Oryctolagus cuniculus: one gene and its partners. The protein of the gene in region 2 binds, or shares a complex with, the protein of the main gene of each other region. Links are inferred from orthologs where the notes say so. Each region holds a gene or a part of one and is shown on either strand. Other genes may lie near its edges.

Region 1 (2,527 bases), on a different chromosome or scaffold from region 2:
CCTGCTGCTCTGTGATGGCAGGCGGCGTGGAGGGGGCAGCTGACCCGGCCTGGAGAGCCTCATGGGAAGTCCTCCAACAAGTGGCAACAGGCCACCGACTTGAAAGGGAAAATTGTGCTGTGAAGGGGAAGGTGTCCGACGAACCTACTGGGTGACTAATTACGCAGGCCCGGCTGGAGCCTCGGAGGCCGCTCGTTAAACACTTCGTTAAGTAGCACCCTGATAGCTGCCACCCTTCTGGGAGCATTTGGGAGCTCGGAGGGGACCCTGCATGGCTGAGGCCCTGGGGCTGGAATTGTCTCCCAGTAGACTCAGGAAGAAGCCTGGCCTCACTTCTAAAAGTCTGGAGCTCCCCGGTCAGAGGGGGCAGGTGACCTGGCATGCAGAGCCCATAGGAGAAAAGCCCAAGGAAGCTGGGTGCAGGAGAGAGCTGCAGGGACTTGGCAGCTGTGTGGCCCTGAGCAAGTCTCACAGCCTGAGAGTGAAGAGGCTCCCACACCACGTCAGGGCTGCACACCTCACAGTCACGGTGGGGACTGCACCCAGTGAGGACTAGGGAAGCGCTTGGGTTACCTCGCCTGAAGGGGGGGGGCAGTGCACCTGGCCGGATTAGCAGCCCCATCTTCCTGCACCCACCTGAGCCCACAGGCTATGCCAAAGCCGAAGCTGCCAGGTGGCTGAAGCCGTCCTTACCTCCTGGCAGCTTCCTAACGCGGGTGCTGGACAGGAGGGGGCAGCCTGGAGCCCAGCAAGGTGCCCGCACAGGTGGGGCCCACGCCCAGATTTCTCCTGCTGACTGTTCCAATGACTCACCCCCACATCCCGGCCCTTTTACCTTTAAGGAAGAGCCGGAAAGGGTGTGGGGAGAAGACAGGGAGGCAGGTCCTGGGCCCCAGTCCCGCCCCCCCGCCCCTCCCCACCCTTGCCTAGGCCAAGCCACCCAGCCAAAAGGCAGGTTGAGAGCAGCAGAGGCACAGAGTCCAGCCTTGGTCCCCAGGCAGCCAGCTCGCCCGCCGCCCGTCTCTCTGTCCCCAGAGCCATGGAGAGAGCCAGTCTGATCCAGAAGGCCAAGCTGGCCGAGCAGGCTGAGCGCTACGAGGACATGGCGGCCTTCATGAAGGGCGCGGTGGAGAAGGGCGAGGAGCTCTCCTGTGAAGAGCGAAACCTGCTCTCGGTGGCCTACAAGAACGTGGTGGGCGGCCAGAGGGCGGCCTGGAGGGTCCTGTCCAGCATCGAGCAGAAGAGCACGGAGGAGGGCTCGGAGGAGAAGGGCCCGGAGGTGCGCGAGTACCGGGAGAGGGTGGAGAAGGAGCTCCGCGGCGTGTGCGACGCCGTGCTGGGGCTGCTGGACTCCCACCTCATCAAGGAGGCAGGCGAGGCCGAGAGCCGCGTCTTCTACCTCAAGATGAAGGGCGACTACTACCGCTACCTGGCCGAGGTGGCCACCGGCGACGACAAGAAGCGCATCATCGACTCGGCCCGCTCCGCCTACCAGGAGGCCATGGACATCAGCAAGAAGGAGATGCCGCCCACCAACCCCATCCGCCTGGGCCTGGCCCTGAACTTTTCTGTCTTCCACTACGAGATCGCCAACAGCCCCGAGGAGGCCATCACGCTGGCCAAGACCACTTTCGACGAGGCCATGGCCGACCTGCACACCCTCAGCGAGGACTCCTACAAGGACAGCACCCTCATCATGCAGCTGCTGCGAGACAACCTGACGCTCTGGACAGCCGACAACGCCGGCGAAGAGGGCGGGGAGGCTCCCGAGGAGCCGCAGAGCTGAGCCGCCCGCCGCCGCCCTGCCCCCTCCGGTCCCCGACGCCCCGCGGAGAGGACTACTACGGGGTGGGAGGCGCCCCCCTTCTCCCCCTCGCTGCGCCGCCCCGGCTCCCAAAGGCTCCCTGGAGAAGGGAGCCGCTGAGCCGAGGCCGCCCGGGGGTCTCGCTCTCCCTGCAAGCCGCGGGGCGCTCCCAGCCCCTGGCCGCCCCCCCACCCTGCTCTCCGCACCCCTTCCCCTCCCGCCTCGCCTCCCTCCTGCCCCTGCGGCTGAGCGCGGCGCCGGGCGGCAGAGGCGGGAGCTGGGGTGCGCGTGTGACTGTGAGTGAGCGAGAGGGAAAGCGTCTGTCTGCCGGCGGTGACCGGCTCGGCTCAATAAACTCCCCGTGACACTCAGTCCTCCGGTCTTCTGCAGTTATTGGCGCTGGGCTGGGAGATGGGTGGGAGTGGGCTTTGCACAGGCCCCGATTTCCCCCGCGGCTGGCCCAGCGGCCCGCGGGCGAGACCTTGCGGGGGCGCAGCCAGGTTCGAGGCGGGGGCCTCTCCCCGCTCCGGGTGGCCCCACACTGGTCTGGTCCCGGGAGGGGCGGAGAGCAGAGGCAGCACTGAGGCGCCTCCCTCGGGCTAGGGGAGCGGGTGCCTCAGGTGTGAGGTGAGGCCGCGGGGTGCTGCGCGGAGCGAGCGGCACGGAGCACCCCACCCTCGAGAGCGAGTGAAGGGTGCACGACCTGGGGCAGAGGCACGGCGC
Region 2 (3,699 bases):
AAGATCTCTATAGGCTACACTATCAGGGTACTGGGTCGGGGAGGGGGGTGGAGGAGACAGAGACAAGAGAGATCACACTCCTTGTGTATAGGAAGCCACCAAACTATTAATATAAGTAGTTTGATCAGGAGGGACAGCCAATCCAGGTAAAGTTAGAAGCTGAATTAGTCAAATGAGCCATCCACCGTGATCAGATTTTAGTATATGGAAAACACTTCATTTTTCCTGTACTGGTAAACCTACCCTCACCAGTCCTGACATCTCCCCTACAAATATCCAAATCATGCTGGTAACAGTGTGATTAGCATACGCGCTGACGTGTTCCTGGACTGCTTACTGTGCCACAGTGAACTTAACTTCTGCTTTGCAGCTTCTGTGTTATCAGAAATTCCGTAGGAATCTGAGTATATTCGAGCTTTCCACTTTTGGCTTTTTTTTTTTTTTTTTTAATACACAGGTTCCTTTTCTCTGACCAAAACATATTCAATAAAAAGGGAAAATGACAGTTTACAAAAATAATAAAGATAAAAGAACACAATCTCTCACCTCCCTGGTCACATTTCTAACCCCTCACATAAACCAACTCTTCTCTCCACGTTTAAATTTTGACTGCGTGTTGGCCAATTTTCCATGTATGGCTCAAAACCTGTTACTGTCTCCACTTGAATAGGCTAGGAAGTGAGCTCTGGAACAGGGGGACTGAGGGGGCACCCCAGTTCTTGCTCAGATGGAAGGAGGAATCTATTGTTCCCAACCCGTGTGGGTGTGACTCACGGAAAATGACAAGTACTTGCTCTAGGCGGTTAGTGTTTCAAGGGAAAATCATCCCCAGAGAGAGAAACCTTGAAGGATTACAGTATCCCAACGGCTGGTGACTTCCAGCCAGCCCCATGGCTACTTTTTTGCCTTTTCAAAATATAAACAAAACCAAACCCTGCAAGCACCCAGCAGCTGGCTATGGGTATTAGGGGGAGGGGGGACCGGTCCTGCAGCCCAGCTAGGGTGTCAGAGCTGGGCTTGTTTTTCTGGGGCGCGGGGTGTCCGTTTTTGATGAACCCACCGAGTTGTTTACGTCTGACGTCTTCGGAGGCCCGGCTTCTTGGGCGTCTGCTCCACAGAGCCGGCGTTCGGGGAACCGTCGGAACCGTTTTCTTCTGTTCTGTTGGCTCTTTTGTTTTGAGGGGAAGAATCTAAAGGCAAGAGGAGATTATTTAAAGGACACACACACACACACAATCTTCAGTAAAAGAAACAATGGCCGGCACAAGTTGGCCCAGTGGCCAGGGGGATGAAAACCCACCGCCTCCACGCACGGTCCTGGACGGGGCGGCCCCCAGGAAGGTGGTCTGCACCACACAGAAATGGGGCCCCCGCACCTTCCTCTACCCTGACCCGGTGTGTGTGTGTGGGGGGGGGTGTTGGAGGCCGCTGATCAACATCCCGACCTTGTCACCTACCCAGGGGTAGGAAGGAAAGGCGCTGTTTTCAACCTGGGCAAAACGATCAGATCCTACAATCTCCCGGCTTCTGCCTTTATAAACAGACCAGCAGCCTCCCGGGTAACATTCAAAAACCCGAGATCAATAAAAAAGTTCGTTCCCTCCACCCCCCACCCGCGCCCCGAGCTCTCCCATCAGAATAGGCTGGAGTTAAAGAGCCGCAAGCAGGCAGAGCGGGAGCGCGCACCGACGGACCGACGGACTGACGGAGGACAGAGGCGCCTTTCGGCTCCGGGAGGGTCTTTACCGTCTGTGGCAGGTCGCTTCCTCATCCCCGCGCACTGCTCGGCCAAGGCCGTGGGGCCGTCGGACTGCTCAGTCTTTGGGTCCCCCAGGTGCGTGTCCTCGGAGCTGGCCTGGGACGCGGCCACCGGCGCCGCGGGGCGGACCCCGCCGGTGTCCTGGCTTTCCTGCGCCGGCACCTTGCAGGCGCCCTTGGGCGGCCGCGGGGGTCTGTAATAGAACTCGGGCAAGCTGCCCTTATCCACCTCCTGCCATTCGTACTTGCCCTCCAGGGGCTTGTGATTCTGGAAGTCGAAATTCCACTTGCGCTGGCTCGCCTCCTCCATGTCTCTGCAGTGCTTCTCCAGGTCCCGGGTCAGCTCTTCGTGATTCACCGGGCCGAAGAGGTTTCTGCAGGCGGAGGGCTTGGGGTGCTCCGCCTGCCTGGCGTCCGTGCGCTCCAGGCTTGGGCTCCCGTTGGACACGCGCACGTTGGACATCTCGCCCCGTACCGGGTCTGGACCCCGCCGCCTCTTCTCTGGCGCGCGCTCTCCGCAAAACAAAACCGAACGCAGCCCAACGCTCCGACGCTGCGGAGCCCCGCGAATGCGCTCAGAGCCCGGGGAGATGGACCCAGACCAGTCGCCGCCCGCGCTCCTGGGGGCGCGCAGGGTGCGGGAGCCGAGCGGGGACGCCCCGGCCGCGCAGCCCAGGCCGCCGCCGCCGCTGCCGATCAGGAGTGCGGGCGCGCAGGAGGGCGGGGAGGGGAGGGGAGGAGCGGGGAGGGGTGACCCGGCCGGTCCGAGTCCAGGCCGGAGCGAGTCCGCGGGTCTCCGCAAGCAGCCGCTCTCCAAACCTTGCGCCGACGGAGCCGCGCCGCGGGGAGAGAGAGTGGAGAGAAGGGAGGGGGCGTAAAACACCCCGAAAAGACGAGCCCCCTTTTTTTAGTGGCCCAATATGGCGGTGGAAGGGAGGCTGACGAAGAAGAAGATGATTGACACGGCGAGTCTATTTAAACAGAGGAGGAGATCCATTGGTCGCGGCGCCGGGAGCCGCCCCGCCGAGGCTGGCGAGCGCGGCCTTAAGGTGGCCCCGGCGCGGGGGCCGGCGCCCGCCCGCGTCCCCGAGCGCCGCCTGCAGACGGGGGCTGCGCGGCTGCCAGCAAACCTGCTGCGCCGGCCGCGGAGAAATTAAAAAGGCGACGGGCCCCGAAGAGCCAAACGGCCGGCCGCGGCGCTAGGGAGGGGCCTGGGCGGCGGGCCGGGCGGGGCCGCCAGGGTCTAGGACGCGCAGCCGCCCCCAAGCGCCGACCTCCCGGCTCCTCGCCAGGGCAACCACGGGCCCGGAGCCCAGGGGCCCCGAGGGTCGCCCCCGCGCCTCGTTCTGAGGCCCGCCGCCCAGCTGGTTCTGCTGGCGCCCGCCAAGCCGGGGGTGGGGGTGGGGGTAAGAGCCCTGCCCTTCCCTTCCCCATCCCCCACCCCCCACCTCACCCCAGCCCAGCTCGGCTCTCCCCCGCAGCTCCCACTTCGCGGGCAGGCCCCCTGCCCGGGTGCCTTCGCTGGGGCTGTAGAGGGTGAGACCAGTGGTGAGCTCACCCCTCACCACTAAGTCCCAGAGCAGGCAGGGAAGGGGCTCGGGGAAGCGAGCCAGGGCAGACGACTTTCTCTAAAGTAGCCGGAAGTGGACGCAGCGTTTAGAACGCGCTTGGAACCCAAGTTCTCCCTCAATAGAAAGGAGAAAGGACCTCGGGATGGACAACCCCCGTCTGGCCTCGCCAGCCCCTACGTGCACTTTGTTGCTGTCCCTAAACCCGGCTTTTAAAAACCGAGGTTGCAGCCCCCAAGTGCAGGGAGGGACGGGTGTGGAGAACTGTTCCTATTTCTTCCACCTGGGCCCAGCCCCTTGCTTCTCCCGCGGGATTCGCTGCAGCACCCGACTCGGAGCTGTATTTGGATGAAGGCTGAACTCTCTGAACGAC
Region 3 (2,619 bases), on a different chromosome or scaffold from region 2:
AGGAGAGCCCAGAAGTTCCAGACTTTGGCTTCAGCCTGTCCCAGCCCCTGCATTGCCATCATCTTGGGAGTGAACCAGCAGCTGGAAGATCTGTTTCTGCCCCTCCCCCTTTCTTCCATTCTTCCTTTAAAACAAGCAAAACCTTAAAAACAAGTGTTATTAGCTGAGAGTACTTGACTTTCACATTAATCACTGAAATTGAAATATTTCATAAATAAGTTACCTGTGGAATTTTAAAAGGATAAGCATGTAAATGGTTACTTCAAGAAATTCATGGAAAATGCACACCATGAATTATGCATAGATCAACATTTTTTGCATCAAAATAAAATCCTTGAATCTCATATCCCATGAACTTTTGAAGTGCCCTCATATGTAGCACCTTTTCAAAGTGCACTGTAATCCATCAGTATGACAAGCATACAAAGTATATGGGTCAACAGGATTATCTCAGGCTCCCTTTAGAAGGGTCTATTCAGAGGCTGTTGAGCACAGGGCAAACCACACTGAATGCTAGCTGATTTTAACCACACTGTTAAGGATAAAAGGATACAACTCAGCACTGACTTTTATAAAAATGTGTTTTATTTTAATACAAGTCTATAAAAGTAGAAATCACATACAAAAATACAGATTACTCTGACATGTTGGCAAACTAGCTTATGGCTGGACTTGAGTTTGAAGTATAGGCACTGTTACTGGGGGCATCTGGAAGTCAACGTCCAACCAGATCCTGTCACCAGCCCTTGTCACTAATCTGTAAACAATAATTTCAAGTAGTATTTAGCACTTTTGAACTACTAAGAAATTGAAGCATACTCATTTCCTGTGTAGCACTACTTTAAAATGTTCTTCCTTAGGTCTGAGCAGATAAGGGCACTTCATACTACTATTTCTAACATTTAAAAAGCTGGATTTAAAAAAGTGAACAGAAATGATGGTTTTTGGCACTTCCATTGCATTTTTCACATATGGGGAGGTCATCTGTTAATTTTTTGTGATTTTCAAGAAGCAGAATTTGATCTTTTTGTTTCTTTGTACCTGTTTTTCAATTTTTGAAATCACTGATTTTTTTTTTTCCAACACCTGAGTCTGAACTCTTACGCAGGTGCAAGTAGTGCTTACTGCTCTGAAACGGTATGGCACGTTTCTGCTCTAATGTGTATTTCTGATTTACAGGAACATGCAGTTCTTACAGAACTTTAGGTCCAATAACCTTATAAAGTAGATAGTTTCAAACAAATACTACAAAGGACCATTAGAAAAAAAGACAAAATACGTGATTCCAGAGTAATATAAAAATAATCTCAAGAACCTCAACACTAAAGGAAAATAGCAGACAACTTCAGAATTCTTCCATTGAGCTTTTCAAGAATAGAGACTGGTTAATACCGTTCTAAAAGCAAGTCATTTTAAAAGCAGAACAACTCATATTCACATAATTTGATTACCAAGTTAGAAAACCACAATTATATTTCCTTACCTAATTTAGTATTCTGGGAATTTAGTATCTTAACATTAAAGGATACTTCAAATTAATCTGATGTAGAAAATGTCTCTTGAACTTTCAAATCCTATATTGGTTCTGCATTTCTGGTGAGTTCTATTTTGTTTTTTAAGTTTTAAGGTGAATTACATGGGGCTTTTTTTTTTTTGTATTAACCTAATTTCAAATCTAAAGGCTGAGTTGAAATGCATTCTTCTTCTTTTTTTTTAATCCCTAAAAGAGATTGCCTCAAAGGCTACCATCCCGATTCTGGTCAGCCCATAATACAATTAGCTTATTGTTCTTTCAAGCTACATCTTATAAAGCAATGCTGAAAAATTAAATAGATAAAAAGTTTACCATGTAGACTATAAAAACTGCCAATAGTGATTTTAAAACTTGCTTCTAAATAGACTAACACAAGGGCACTTGAAGAGGTGGCTCAAATTTTGCTCTTTTCAGGTATCTTGAAATTATAGGCTCATTTTCCTAACATTTGAAAAGGCCTACAACTTAGGCTCAGAAGAGCACAGCACTAACAGAAGCTTCTATAGTCTTTTCAGGAAAGCAGTACTTCCCATTTCCCTCTCAAATCGCTAATATACTTGCAGAATGAAGCAAAGGGAAAGCTAAGACTAAAACTAGCTGAGTGCCCCTGCGATTGGGCGTCCTTCCTATTTTCCCTGTTCCAAAGAAGATACTGTATCCTGCAATAAATACTTCATAGACAACTGGGTTTCTGCAGTGTCAGTCGGCATTTGATGCCCCATATCTCCTGGTTCTTTTTGTTGCCAATAGTTGGCCTGGCAATGGTGGTAAAATGGGAGCAATTAATCTGTAGATGAGGAAGGGCTTCCCTTAGCAGTTGGAGGGTTCCGTCTGGCACGATTCCGAAAACTTGTAGTGTTTTTAGCGTGGGAATTTCTCCAAGTTCACTGGAAAGGAAGAAAGAGAAGTTCAGAGTAGCAGTATCTAAGGAGCCACTCTGACTAAACATGTGACCCAATTTTTACAATTTGTATCACAAAGTGCAACTTGAAACTATTTGCAATAAATGACCAGAGAGGAGAGCACAGGGAAATGGCACTGCAAAGCGCAGGCTGTACGGCCTCAGCAGCCTGGCCTGGGGAGAC

The links.
Region 1: the proteins of CDKN1B (region 2) and SFN are in contact, whole or in part, in a crystal structure (PDB 7ORG), measured with the Homo sapiens proteins. The link is inferred for Oryctolagus cuniculus from reciprocal best matches to the Homo sapiens genes CDKN1B and SFN. Residues at the interface, in NP_004055.1 of Homo sapiens: Arg194, Arg195, Arg196, Gln197, Thr198; in NP_006133.1 of Homo sapiens: Lys49, Arg56, Arg60, Arg129, Tyr130, Glu133, Leu174, Asn175, Val178, Glu182, Leu222, Asp225, Asn226, Leu229, Trp230.
Region 3: the proteins of CDKN1B (region 2) and SKP2 are in contact, whole or in part, in a crystal structure (PDB 2AST), measured with the Homo sapiens proteins. The link is inferred for Oryctolagus cuniculus from reciprocal best matches to the Homo sapiens genes CDKN1B and SKP2. Residues at the interface, in NP_004055.1 of Homo sapiens: Ala181, Gly182, Ser183, Glu185; in NP_005974.2 of Homo sapiens: Arg294, Asp319, Val321, Arg344, Tyr346, Asp347, Gly369.

What each region holds. Positions count from the first base shown.
Region 1 is NC_091438.1:144,640,837-144,643,363, reverse strand, and holds SFN (14-3-3 protein sigma), read left to right. Parts: upstream 1-936; 5' UTR 937-1,039; coding exon 1,040-1,786; 3' UTR 1,787-1,921; downstream 1,922-2,527. UniProt on the Homo sapiens protein: Adapter protein implicated in the regulation of a large spectrum of both general and specialized signaling pathways. Binds to a large number of partners, usually by recognition of a phosphoserine or phosphothreonine motif.
Region 2 is NC_091440.1:110,363,464-110,367,162, reverse strand, and holds the start of CDKN1B (cyclin-dependent kinase inhibitor 1B), read right to left. Parts: upstream 2,867-3,699; 5' UTR 2,222-2,866; coding exon 1,747-2,221; intron 1,191-1,746; coding exon 1,069-1,190; 3' UTR 1,061-1,068; intron 1-1,060. UniProt on the Homo sapiens protein: Important regulator of cell cycle progression. Inhibits the kinase activity of CDK2 bound to cyclin A, but has little inhibitory activity on CDK2 bound to SPDYA. Involved in G1 arrest. Potent inhibitor of cyclin E- and cyclin A-CDK2 complexes.
Region 3 is NC_091445.1:61,746,791-61,749,409, reverse strand, and holds the end of SKP2 (S-phase kinase-associated protein 2), read right to left. Parts: exon of another isoform or gene 2,422-2,619; coding exon 2,208-2,421; 3' UTR 564-2,207; downstream 1-563. UniProt on the Homo sapiens protein: Substrate recognition component of a SCF (SKP1-CUL1-F-box protein) E3 ubiquitin-protein ligase complex which mediates the ubiquitination and subsequent proteasomal degradation of target proteins involved in cell cycle progression, signal transduction and transcription.